Linked DNA regions of Rattus norvegicus. The protein of the gene in region 1 purifies or fractionates together with the protein of each later gene. This does not show direct contact. Links are inferred from orthologs where the notes say so. Each region holds a gene or a part of one and is shown on either strand. Other genes may lie near its edges.

The links.
Region 2: the proteins of Nrbp1 (region 1) and Tsc22d1 purify together in Homo sapiens (affinity purification with mass spectrometry; 6 studies listed by BioGRID and IntAct, with this or other methods). This does not show direct contact. The link is inferred for Rattus norvegicus from reciprocal best matches to the Homo sapiens genes NRBP1 and TSC22D1.
Region 3: the proteins of Nrbp1 (region 1) and Tsc22d2 purify together in Homo sapiens (affinity purification with mass spectrometry; 5 studies listed by BioGRID and IntAct, with this or other methods). This does not show direct contact. The link is inferred for Rattus norvegicus from reciprocal best matches to the Homo sapiens genes NRBP1 and TSC22D2.

What each region holds. Positions count from the first base shown.
Region 1 is NC_086024.1:30,850,309-30,854,366, reverse strand, and holds the start of Nrbp1 (nuclear receptor-binding protein), read left to right. Parts: upstream 1-1,258; 5' UTR 1,259-1,323; intron 1,324-3,993; 5' UTR 3,994-4,012; coding exon 4,013-4,058. UniProt on the Homo sapiens protein: Required for embryonic development. Plays a role in intestinal epithelial cell fate and proliferation, thereby involved in the architectural development of the intestine potentially via the regulation of Wnt-responsive genes.
Region 2 is NC_086033.1:58,158,310-58,162,577, forward strand, and holds the start of Tsc22d1 (TSC22 domain family protein 1), read left to right. Parts: upstream 1-1,468; 5' UTR 1,469-1,805; coding exon 1,806-4,268. UniProt on the Homo sapiens protein: Transcriptional repressor. Acts on the C-type natriuretic peptide (CNP) promoter. Acts to promote CASP3-mediated apoptosis.
Region 3 is NC_086020.1:144,795,575-144,799,839, reverse strand, and holds the start of Tsc22d2 (TSC22 domain family protein 2), read right to left. Parts: upstream 2,801-4,265; coding exon 879-2,800; intron 1-878. UniProt on the Homo sapiens protein: Reduces the level of nuclear PKM isoform M2 which results in repression of cyclin CCND1 transcription and reduced cell growth.

The DNA.
Region 1 (4,058 bases):
GTTGCGCTATTGCTTGTGCTGATCATGAACTCATGGCATTAGCCTTCGGAGTGATAGGATTACCGTATTCGACACTATGCTGGGTGAACAAAAAAGGTTGGCTTTTGTTTTTGAGACAGGGTTCCACTATGTAGCCCTCCCTGGTTGGCCTCGAATTCACAGAGATCTGTCTGGCATGCTTGTTGAAATTTTGTTTTTTAAAGCAAGCATTTTAAAAGTGAAGATAGAAAAAAATGAGTCTCTACAGGATTTCCATCTGAACCGGTGAACTAGGACTAATTAGTCCCCTTTCAGGACAGTAACGTTGTTGATTGTGGCACTCAGATTCAGATGATTCATCCTTCTTCCTTGATAATACATAGATAATGGCAGCATGAATTTTCATCCCTTAGATTTTGCCTTTAACTTTCCAAGATCAATGGCTTAACCCAAAATCTATTGTAATTATAACTCACAACCAATGTAAATTCTTTCCAAATACTTTTTCAAGGACAGTTTTTTTTTTTTTTTTGGTTCTTTTTTTCGGAACTGGGGACCGAACCCAGGGCCTTGCGCTTCCTAGGTAAGCGCTCTACCACTGAGCTAAATCCCCAGCCCCACAAGGACAGTTTTGATGGATCTTCTTACTTCGGATTCTATTTTGGGCTCATGCCAATTTAAATTTGAGTAACTTTTTTTTGTTTCATTTTCGCATTTGACAACTATCATTGATTAATTTCAATGAGTTCTCCCTTATGAGGGTCGAATCTGGTTATATGTTTAGGTAAATAATGTTATGCAAATCAGCAACTATTAGGTTTCATGTTAAGCGATTAAAAAAAGAAAAGCTTTCTGAAAATTTGATGACCCATGAACTGTCTCTTTCCCAAATGGGGAATGTGGGTGGGTTCATCCCTCGGATTGAGGCTGCGTCTTCCGTTCCTTTTGTCTTTTCGGAGGATTATGACTGTCATGGCGCTTTCAAGGAGAGAGAGGCCTTCCTTTCGTCCGGCAGAATTACTTGGGAGCACCTCGACTGGGCGGAGGATGGACAGAGAGACATGAAGACAACGCTGGCAAGCTGTCCGCCAGAGCCCTGCAAGGGAGGAGACGCGGCAGGAGACTGCCCTGAGAGCGCCTGTCTGTGGGAACCGCCCCCCGCTGCCCTGTCCAATGGAAACCTGGCGGCGGTGCGGCACCGCCCACTGTTGGTCCGGACGCCGCGAGGGCGGGGCCCGCAGTTCGGTTGCGCTGCGGAGCGCAGCTGTGAGGGAGTCGCTGCGATCCGAGGCCCCGGAACCCGAGCTGGAGCTGAAGCGCAGGCTGCGGGCGCGGAGTCGGGAGGTGAGCTCCGGAGAAAGAGGCCCTGGAGGGAGGGGCTCGCGGAAGGGCGGCAGGATCACCGGGTGCCGCGGGCCGGCGGGCCGCGGCCGGCGGGTGCTGTCCGGCGGCCCTGCTCTCTCGGGAGTCAGGCCCGACCTAGCCCGGCCCGTCGCAGCTGAGGGGCCACCTTGGCCCCAGGGCGCCGCCCGCCCTCCTGGTGTCTCCGGCGTGGCCGCGGCGGCCCGGAATTCTGCGGGCGCGGGTCGGGGGGCCCCGGCGTTCTCTTGGAACTCTGGCCGCGAGAGGCGGGGCAGGCGGCGCGGGCGGGGGCGGGGCGGGGGCGGGGCGGGGGCCCCTGCCCGAGGACCTGCGGAAGGAAGCGCGGCGTCCGGGCCCGGCCTGCTCGCGGGGCGGTGCGCCGAGCGCGGGGGCGTGGTCTGCGGCCTGACGGCGCGGCTAGGCTGGCCTTTGATGAGGTGGCTGTGGTGCTCAGTCTCCTGGCCGGCCACTGTCTGCTCGCTACCGCTTCCTTCCAAATACTGGCCGGGCGACCTGTTGACATGCTGAGGGCCTCCTGCCTCCGAGCTTGCTTTCTCTCCGACCGAGCAGTTCTGCTGACCTCAGAGGCTCTCTGGGTTTCCTCAGAGCGGCCTGTGGCTGCGAGCTATGCGGGGTGACGTGCAGAGGGCTTTCAACTAATAATGGAAGCCGAGAGAACAACTTTGCGAGAGATGACAGACAATGCCCTGGAGTGAATGTACTATGCACCCTCAGGGTAGCTAGAGGCTTCGAGGAGATTGCCCTCACCAATGTAAATGAGCTTTTCCATGTGTGATCCCTGTTAAAACTACCAGCAGCTCTGAGGCAGAACCCCCAGTGTTGCACAAGTTTCTGCATCTGTTGCGGGAGTGCTTGGAGATCTTTAGGCACTGCTCTTATTTTACCTCCTGGGACATGATTGGGGAGGGAAATGTACCTTCTGGGCATTTGTCGCTGGTGACAGTTCATCCTCTCTCCCAAGTGCAGTGTGAAGGGGCTGTCTGTGAACTTGGTCCAGTAGTTTTAGATTCCATAGGCTACAGCTTTGACATTCTAGAGTATCTTCTGTTGTATCTTGCTAGAATTTCACTTATCAGTTCAGATTGGAGGCACATCGTGTGAATGTAGCTGAAACAGACTTTATTTTCTTAGCTCCTTGATACAGACTTTATTTTCTTAGCTCCTTGATAGGGGAAGGAGGAAAAAGTGATCCTTAACTCATCTTTTTTTATTGGTTTATTAAGACATGCACGAAAATAATAGCTGTTTTGGCATACAGAGGAGACTTTCTAGGGTAGGCAAGGACTTTCCTTAGAAATTTAAAGTGGGGAAGTAGCCTACTAGATTTTTTTTCCTCCTGTAGTGCTGTGTTCTTTGAGTTTACTAGAACGTTAATACAAATCTCCCGATTCAGGTAAAACAGTATAGGCTGGAGAGAAATGTGTAGAAAGGGGCATCAGAGAGTTGTATGGCCATGTTGGTGTTGATTGCAGGTTTCAGATATTCTGAATTGACTTTGGAGTGCAAGTTTACTTTCCAGGGTATTGATTTTTTTATTAGGCAGCGCTTCCTTGAGCTAATCACACATAGGTTTCAGGTTTTTTTTTAATAGTCTCTATTCATTTGATTGTCCTATTATTATTATTATTATTATTATTATTATTATTATTATATGGGTTAATTAGAAACTTAGGTTTTTCTTAAAGCAACTCTGCCCCTGTAGAAATGTTATTGTTTAACACTTTGCTTATAAAAGCTATAGCTTGAATTATTTGTTCTGGAAAGAAGTAGCTGGTATCAGATCTAGTGCCTCAGAGATTGGGGAAGTCAAAGCCTTTGAGCAATGTAAATGAAAGGAAAGCTGGAAACATAAGGCTTTTGATTTTCTTTCTGAATTTGTGCTTAATTAAGTGCAGGCATTTCATTTATTTTAATTCACTGATCTCTCAAGCACCCTCCCATTCTGTGACCTATAGTAACCTACAAGTGTTACTAAACATTTAAGTGAGTAAATGAAAAGAAATGCTGTTAAACAGTACCCACTTGCCACATTCACACATCATGAGGAAGGTGAGGTCATTAGAGAAGGAAGTCATACCTGCCAGTCGCCTGGCCCAAAGGCAGTTTCTACCTATGTATAGGAAAAGTGGGTAATGCCACTGTTGGTTCTAGTAGAATAAGTCACCCTTGGGAGTTTTGGCCTGTTGGTTAAGGAAGATGTAGGCCCATAGGGCTGTCTGTCTCAGTGGAACATTCTAGAGTCGTATGCTCTGAGTAATGCCTGTACACCCTAGTTCTTAAGCACAGTGAAGATCGAGGCCCATGGAGAGCCAATGGGAAATATATTAATTGCAACACTATTTGCTGAGCAGGAGTGGGGTACCAGATTTTACCGTATATTTGGGTTTGACTAAAGTGGACTATATTGTCATTCATCTCATGTGCAGCACTTCGGGTGATCTTCAGTTAACTCCTCTTCTAGAAGCCAGAGAGTCATTCACATTTCAGTATTTAGGTAGGAGGAGATCTGATTTTAGATTTAAAGGAAACAAGGGAGATGTATTTTTTGAGGCTGAAGATGAAGTTAAGACTATTAAAGTTTTATACGTCTGTTTTTGACCTTTGTCTTCTGACTCTGCCCAACAAATGCAGGCTGAGTGTTCATTCCAGCATGTCGGAAGGGGAGTCCCAAACAGTAGTCAGCAGTGGCTCAGACC
Region 2 (4,268 bases), on another chromosome or scaffold:
GTCGTGGCAGCAGCGGAGGGCTCCTGGGAGCTGCAACTCGTGATGCTGTTGCTGAGGAGAAAAGCCTTATTACCCATTCAGCAGGCCGGGGGGACACCGCCCCAGGGCGCGCACACCCGAGACCTATCGCTCCTCACCCGCCTCGCCGGGGTCCGCGTGGGAGACAGCAGCGGACACGCCTAACCTGCGCGCACGCGCGCGGCGTGGCCCCCACGCCCCACCCTAGCTTCTCCACGCGACCCGGATTCGCTCGCGCGCCCGAGTGCCCCACCCCCACCGCCCTCAGGCGTCGGCGGCTCCGCCGGCCTTCGGCAATTTCCGTGGAGACGGAGCCGAGAGCTCGGCACGGACCGAAGACAGGCCACCTCCCCTAGTCAGACCCAGCTTTATGTCTGCAGCGCCGGCGCGCACGCGCAGACGCCATCTTCCCTCTTCTCCTCCGCGACCCCTCCCCCCCGCCTTCTCCTCCTCCTCCTCCTCCTCCCCCTCCTCCTCCTCCTCCTTCTCTTCGGTCAGAGCTCGACCCTCCTCCTCTCGCGCTGGGGCGCTGGTCCCTCCTCTCTTGATGCCGCGAGAGACCAGGGGATACGGAGCAGCCCGAGAAGAGCACTAGTAACAACCACCACAGCCCCCTCCTCGCCCGACGCCCTCCCACTCCTCCGCCCCGCGCCGCCACCGACCAACCCCACCTCTCATTTCTTTGAACGGCGTCGGCTGCAGCCGCTGCACCAGCCCCGTCTGGCCGTCGCCGCCGCCGCGAAAAGGAGCCACCGCCGCCCGCGGCCCCCTCCCTCCCGGTCGCGGGAGCAGCTCGGTGCCGAGCCAGCCGGCGGGCTGAGAAGAGGACGCGAGCTCGCCCCTCCGCTCCCGCGCACGTCCCGCCACCCGCCGGAGCAGCCTGGGCGCCGGCGCCCTTCCTCTCAGAGGACGTGTGCCGAGCCGAGCGCCTGCCCCGAGAGAGGAAAATGCTCGGGCTCCATGGCTGCCAGTGATGGAGCGGTCCCTGGGCTCCCGCTGCCGCCGCCACCGCCGCCGCCGCGCCCCGGCCGCGCTCCGCGAGGACCCGGCGTCTCTGCGCGCCCGCCCTCGCCTCGTTGCTGGGCTCACCGTACCCGGCGCCCCGCCGCCGCCCCGCTCGCAGCCGCGCCGCCCGGGCCCCAGTCGCGGTCAGCCTTTCCTCCCGGAGCAGCCGTCGCGAGCCCAGGGGGTTTGAGAGGGGCCGCGGGCCGCGGGGGGAGGCCCGAGCGGGGCCGGCCGCGCCGGCAAGGGAGGTTGGAGCGACGCTGAGCTCAGGGCTCGCCGGCGGCCGCGGCGCCGGGGGTGGCGAGGGCCGGGCGACCGCTCGCTCCGCGCTGCCTCGGTGCAGGGCGAGCGGAGGGGCTTTGCAGCGGCCGCCGCCGCGGGAGGAGGGGGTTGAGCTGGCTCCGGAGTTGGCCAAAGAAGGTGGGCATTTCTCGCTTCTCCTCGCCTCCCCCGCCCCCTCCTGGGCTCCCCTCCCTCCCGCCCCGCACCCCACGTGAAGCGGAATATAAAGGGGGGTGTGTGACTGGAGGGGAAAGTGAATGGCGAAGGACTGAAGGGGTCCCCCTTCGGTTCCCCAGCCACCTGGTTCACCCGGTTCATCCTCCCTTCCCGAAGCTAGCCCTCGAAGGCACGAGCAGCCGGCGCCTTCGGCAGAGGAGGAGGAGGAGGGATCGCGTCGGGCGGAGCTTCAGGTCCTGTTCGCCTCTCCGGCTTCTCCATACAAAGATTACGGTGCAGAAGGAAATTGCACTCGCCTCCTCCGCCCCCCGGTACCCAGCACAATGCACCAGCCGCCAGAGTCCACCGCCGCGGCGGCCGCTGCTGCAGACATTAGTGCTAGGAAGATGGCGCACCCGGCAATGTTCCCTCGAAGGGGCAGCGGTGGTGGCAGCGCCTCTGCTCTCAGTGCAGCAGGTACCGGCGTCAGTGGTGCTGCTCCATCTTCTGAAGATTTTCCTCCTCCTTCTTCGCTGCTCCAGCCGCCGCCTCCTGCTGCATCTTCCACACAGGGACCACAGCCTCCGCCTCCACAAAGCCTGAACCTCCTTTCACAGGCTCAGCTGCAGGGACAGCCTCTTGCGCCAGGCGGAACTCAGATGAAAAAGAAAAGTGGCTTCCAGATAACTAGCGTTACTCCGGCTCAGATCTCTGCCAGCATCAGCTCGAACAACAGCATAGCAGAGGACACCGAGAGCTATGATGACCTGGATGAGTCGCACACGGAAGATCTCTCTTCTTCCGAGATCCTTGATGTCTCCCTTTCCAGGGCCACTGACTTAGGTGAGCCTGAACGCAGTTCCTCCGAGGAGACTCTGAATAACTTCCAGGAAGCTGAGACACCTGGGGCAGTCTCTCCTAACCAGCCCCACCTTCCTCAGCCTCATTTGCCTCACCTTCCACAACAGAACGTTGTGATCAATGGGAACGCTCATCCACACCACCTCCATCACCACCATCACATTCATCATGGGCACCACCTTCACCACGGACACCACCATTCATCACATGCTGCTGTGGCCAGTACATCCGTTCCTGGAGGGCCACCACCCACGAGCCCCGTGTCCAGGAAACTCTCTACAGCTGGAAGTTCTGACGGTGGTGTGCCAGTCCCACCTACTTCTGCTGTATCATCGGCTGGCTTACCTGCCTCAGTGATGACGAGCATCCGTGCTCCAAGCACTCCAGGCAGCATAGGTGTAAATTCAGTTACCGGCACGAATGCAACGAATAATGTTAACATTGCTGCTGTGGGTGGTTTCAGTCCCGGTGTGGCGAACAGCGTGCATCCCAATGCTGTTAGTATAAGTGGTGGGCCTGGAGTTACCAGCGGTGTTAATGTGAATGTCTTGAGTGGCATGGGCAACGGTACCATTTCTTCTCCTGTCCTTAACGCAGCTGCAGGTATCACGGTGGGAGTGGTTTCAAGTCAGCAGCAGCAGCCGCAGCAGCCGCCGCCAACAGTTAACACATCAAGGTTCAGAGTTGTGAAGTTAGACTCTACTTCTGAACCCTTTAAAAAAGGCAGATGGACTTGCACTGAATTCTATGAGAGAGAAAATGCTGTGCCAGGTCCAGAAGGCGTGGCCATAAATAAAGTGGTGGAGACCGTGAAGCAAACCCCCACGGAAGCGTCCTCTTCGGAGAGGGAGAGCACTAGTGGGAGTTCCGTGAGCAGTAGTGTCAGCACACTGAGTCACTACACAGAGAGTGTGGGAAGCGGAGAGATGGGAGCCCCTACTGTGGTGGTGCAGCAGCAGCAGCCGCTACCACCAGCACCACCAGGTCTTCAAGGCGTGGCCCTCCAACAGCTAGATTTCAGTAGCCCTGGTCCACAGAGTATTTCTCAGTCACAGATGTCACAGGTACAACTACAGCCTCAAGAATTGAGCTTTCAGCAGAAGCCAAATCTTCAACCTGTTCCTCTGCAAGCCACTATGAGCGCAGCAACTGGTATCCAGCCTTCACCTGTCAACGTGGTGGGTGTAACGTCAGCTGTAGGTCAACAGCCTTCCATTTCCAGTCTGGCTCAGCCCCAGCTGCCGTATCCTCAGCCAGCTCCTCCCGTGCAAACTCCTCTTCCAGGGGCACCACCCCAGCAGTTACAATATGGGCAACAGCAACCAATGGTTCCTACGCAGATAGCCCCAGGCCATGGCCAGCCAGCAACTCAAAACCCTCCTTCAGAGTACGCACAGCAGCAGCCAATATTCCAAGCGGCAATGTCCTCTGGACAGTCCAGTTCCACAGGCACAGGAGCGTCAGTGATTCCCGTGGCTCAGCCACAAGGGATCCAGCTGCCAGTGCAGCCCACAGCAGTACAAGCACAACCTGCAGGGGCGACTGGGCAGCCCATTGGCCAGGCTCCAACAGCAGTGTCTACTGTACCAGCTGGTGGTCAGATTGCAAGTATCGGTCAGCAGGCAAACATACCCACTGCAGTACAGCCACCCTCTACCCAAGTTACACCTTCAGTTGTTCAGCAAGGTGCTCCTCCATCTTCACAAGTAGTCCTACCTGCTCCAACTGGGATCATTCATCAGGGCGTTCAAACCAGTGCTCCAAGCCTTCCTCAGCAATTGGTTATTGCACCCCAGAGTACCATGGTAGCGGTGCCTCCCCAGACACAGGGAGTGGAAGCAGTGGCTCATGGAGTTGTTTCCCACCAGTTGCCCACAGGTAGTCCTTTGCCCTCTGCTAGCACCATTTCTGTTACAAGTCAGGTTAGTTCAGCTGGTCCTTCTGGA
Region 3 (4,265 bases), on another chromosome or scaffold:
TAAGTTTTTAACAAGGTTGGACTTATGTCATGTCAAAGGTCTATGTGATAGTTCCTTAAAAAATAAAAAAATAAAAAAAAATAAAAAAAAAAAAGAACCCTACAATTCCTAAGTAGCCACAACCATGAACAGCGTAGCAATGCACTAATTTCTACCTATTTAAAAAGCATACCCTACACTCTGGGTAGAGGGCGTTGGTTACAGACATTTTAAAACTATAGCCTTTATTATTGTTTAGGCATTTCACACCTCCCTTCACTAAAGACTGATAGAACATCCATCTTCCAGTACTTTTTCTTTTTCCTATTTTGCTTAAACTTTGAAAAGTTTGAAAAGTTACTGGGAACTCTCACGACTCCCTTCTATTAAAGACTGACTTAGGGGTAGTCAAAGCTAGACTTCACCACATTTTATCGTTCTTTCCAGTCTGCCCAATTCACTGATGGAGACTGCTTCTATTCCATTCCTTCCCTGCCCCCAGGAAAAGGCTCTCTGGTTTTCTGTCTTAAAGAGTTTCAAAACTAACTCAGGCAAAACTGCAATAAGCACTCAAAAGTAATTACTACCTTAGAAAGGGACTCTCTTACTAAGGGTGGGGGCAATACCAGCTCTCATCTTTAAACTGTTAAGCTGAAATAAATATACCAACGGCGTTGAACCACTATCCATTTAATTTCTTAAAAAGAAAACAAAAACAAAACAACAACAACAAAAATCCCGTGACTTTTGTCTCCTTACTCCCAAACTTTGAATTGATTTTTACCAAACTTAAGTTTTAAAAATAAAGACCTTAAGTGGAAACAAACAAACTCACTCCCAAAACTGCATCTATTTGGGCAAGCAACTCTACCAGATGTTCAAAATAAAAATTTACCTACCTGTCTTCATCACCATCAACAGGAATAGCTATGCTGAATACAGAGGTGGCCAGACTGTTCATAGGTGTTAATTGAAGAGGGTTTGCCAGGGCATCTGCAACTGGAGGCTTCACAACAGGCTTATTTTCAGCAATGAGAGAAAGTGGTGCTTGAGGTAGGGGTTCTGATTTTCTTCTAGTATCGTCAATTTGCCTGACTAAAGACTGGGTCTGAGTCTGAAACTGGCTTAGATCAGACTGTGGTAGACTTGTTGGTGCACTGTGTGTGCCTTGCGCTAAGGGTGGACCAACTTGCTGGATGACGCTGCTGCTCCGGCTGACTGGCGTATGGCCGCTCAGCTGCTGAGACTGGCCCAGAGGCGCGGGTACATTTGGCATAGTAACAGAAGTGGTGGGCACAACAGGCACGCTTGGAACGGGTACCGCTGCAGGCACGTTTGGAACTCCGGGCACCACGGTGTGAGGACCACCAGGCACGGCTGACAGCTGAACACTGCCACCCATATGTGGCGGAGGCTGCACGGACTGGGGCTGCCCAACCCCGGTCAGCCCAGAGCCAGGCTGCACCACGCCTCCTATAGCAGCTGGGGCCACTCCGGCCGGCTGACAAGGAGCGGCCTGGCCCACGGGAACCGGACCCGGGGCCACGACTTCACTGGGCTGGGCAGAGGCGCCCATCATCTGGGCACCCAAGGAAGAAACGCTCTGGCCAGATCCCAGAGGAAAGCTGGCCGCTGAAGCAGAGGTCGCGCTAGCGCTGGTAGACAAGGGCTGCGCAGGGCTTGGTGGCTGCAGGGCCACGTGCGGCGGCAGGTACTCACTCTGGCCCGATGGCTGGACCGGCAACAAATGCCCGGGTGGTATCGGAGGCTGGGGATAGGCGAACTGCTGTGACAACGAGGAGCCGACCGCCGGGCCAGGCTGAGCTGTCAGGGCCACAGGCTGTGCCAGGTTGACATTCGGCGGCGGCGGCAGCCCCTGGCCAACAGGCCCGGGGAGGGCGCCGCCGGCTACGGCTCCCTGGAGCTGAGTTGGCTGAGTGGCTGCCGTCATTGGCTGCGACCCGGTCGCTGCTCCGGGGAACAGCGGCAGCGACACCGAACTTGGAGCCACAGCCCCACCTACGGGCGGTGGAGGCTGTGGCTGCCCAACGCTGAAACTCTGCGGCTGGGCGAGAGTGGGCTGGCTCATTTTCTCCGACGGGGGTAGCTGTGACACAGCAGTCAAGGAGCTGTCAGTTCCCGAGTCCAGCCCGTGCGCCCCCTGCATGGAGGCCACCACCACCACCACCGACCCTCCGGTGGCGCCCAAGCCGCTGTCCCGCTCTGCAGTCTGCTCCAAAGTATTGCTGTGTCTAATGCAATCCCCGGACCTACTGAGGACGCTACTATCTGAATCCCGCTCGTAGTATTCCATACACGTCCATCGGCCGCGCCGATACGGCTCTCCGCTCCCGTGGTCTAGTTTGATCACGCGGAAACGGGAACTACAAGTGGCAGGGGGCTGAGATGGAGTTGCACTACTTGGCCCAGGAGCAGACACTGAAGTGGCAACCGCCGCCAGGGTCTGGGAGAGTGCCCCTGCCACGCTCCGGGCCGGCACGCCGCCGCCTCCGTTGGCGGGCACAGCTGAAGCGGCTGCCAGCTGCCCATCTAGGATGAGGTTCGGGGACACAGTCCCGGGAGTTTCCGCATCCCCGACATTGTTGAGCGTCTCTTCCGAGGAGCTGCGCTCGCACACCTCCTCTGGGCCGTAATCCGTGGCCCGAGAAACGTCGAAGATCTCGGAGGACACGTCCTCCGTGCGCGACTCGTCCGGGTCGTCCAGGCTCTCGGTGTCCTCGGTGATGCTAGTGGCCACCTGGGCCGTGGTGACACTGGTGATCTGGAAGCAGCTCTTCTTCTTGGCCGGCATCTTGGACATGGTGGAAAAGGCTGGAGGACAGAGGCTCCTCTGGGACCCCACCGGAAACCGAGAAGGGCCGAGCACGGGCCCCCAAAGACAAAGTCCGAGTTCGCGCCTGGGTCTACGGCCCACGCCGCAAGTCACGGGCTGCTCTGGGCGCCGGCGTCTAGGCGCGACATCCTCCTCCTTCCTTCTCACCTCCCGCGGCAGTGGTGCCTCAATTCAACCCGTCAGTGACGGTCCGAGCGTGGTTCAGGGGCGGGCCGGCTGCTCGCACAGCTCAGCCGCCGCGGTCAGTCCAGCCCGGCGCTCGGCGCGGTCAGCAGGCCCGGCTGGGGGTGGAGCGCAGGGCGCAGGAGGCGGCGGCGGCGGCGTGAGGGGCGGTTCTGCCCCGCTCGGGCTCTTTTGGCCGGGTCCCGCGGCTGCTCCCGCGCGGCGACGCGGAGGAAGAAGGCGGAGCGGCGAGGCCGGGACCGGCGCTTCCTGACGGGGCTGGAGGTCCGCGGCGGGAGGCAGCCCTCCGTCCCGGGCTCTAGCCCGAGCGCAGTCCCGGGGCCATGCCGGCGGTGGCGGCGGAAGCCCGCTCGGGGGCGGGGAAGGCCGGCAGTCTGGCCTCCCTCAGGGAGCCACCCGCTGCGGCGGGCCCGGCCTCCTCGCGGCTCTGAGGCGCGTGAGGGGCGGCGGCGGCTGAAGGAACGGCAAGCGTGCGGAGGCGCTCGGCGGCGTGAGGGGGACCGGTGGAGGCGTCTTCCGCTTCTCCTCGGCGCGGCCGGTTCGTAGACTCCGGAAAAACTGAAATTCAAACTGCTGAAGCAGCGGCTGCAGCTCCCTCCACTCGGCCAAGATGGGGCTGAAATGGCCGCGCCAGGGATGCTGGGAGGAGCAGCAGCCCCGCAGCCGCTGCCGCCGCAGACTAAAATGCCGCCGCTGCCGCAGCCACCGCCAGCGCCGCAGCCGCCGCCGTTCCGTGACGCGTCGGCGTCGTGACGTCACCGCCCCGCCCCCTCCGGTTTCCTGCAGCTTCTCGTGGAGGCTTGAGGGGGGTTCGTGGGCGGGGCCAAAGGGCAGAGAAAAGGGAGCGGGTTCTTTATTTAAAATTTTTTCAAATTTAAATTTTACGCTGCAGGTTCATTAGGAGTTGAGACGCCAGAGGACGGTTTTTATTTGCAATCCTGGAACGTCGCACGGTTTAGTGCCGGCGTGTGGAAATCCTGGATGACCCGAGGTCATGTGCTGGGTCTAACGTTTAACAGAGTCTTAGTGGAACCCGGGTGATAGGGGAGAAAAGTAGGGCGATCCAGCTGCAGAAGAGATGTATGTCTGGAGAAAGCGAGTCGCGTTAAAAAGCCCTGAAAATATGATAGTCGGAGAAGTGAGATTTAAGAGAAACGAGGGTGACAAACACAGAACAGCAAGCCAGACTGAATTAGAAAGATGATCTTTCAGACAGAAATTCTGTTTTCAACAACAGCGTTAGGGATGA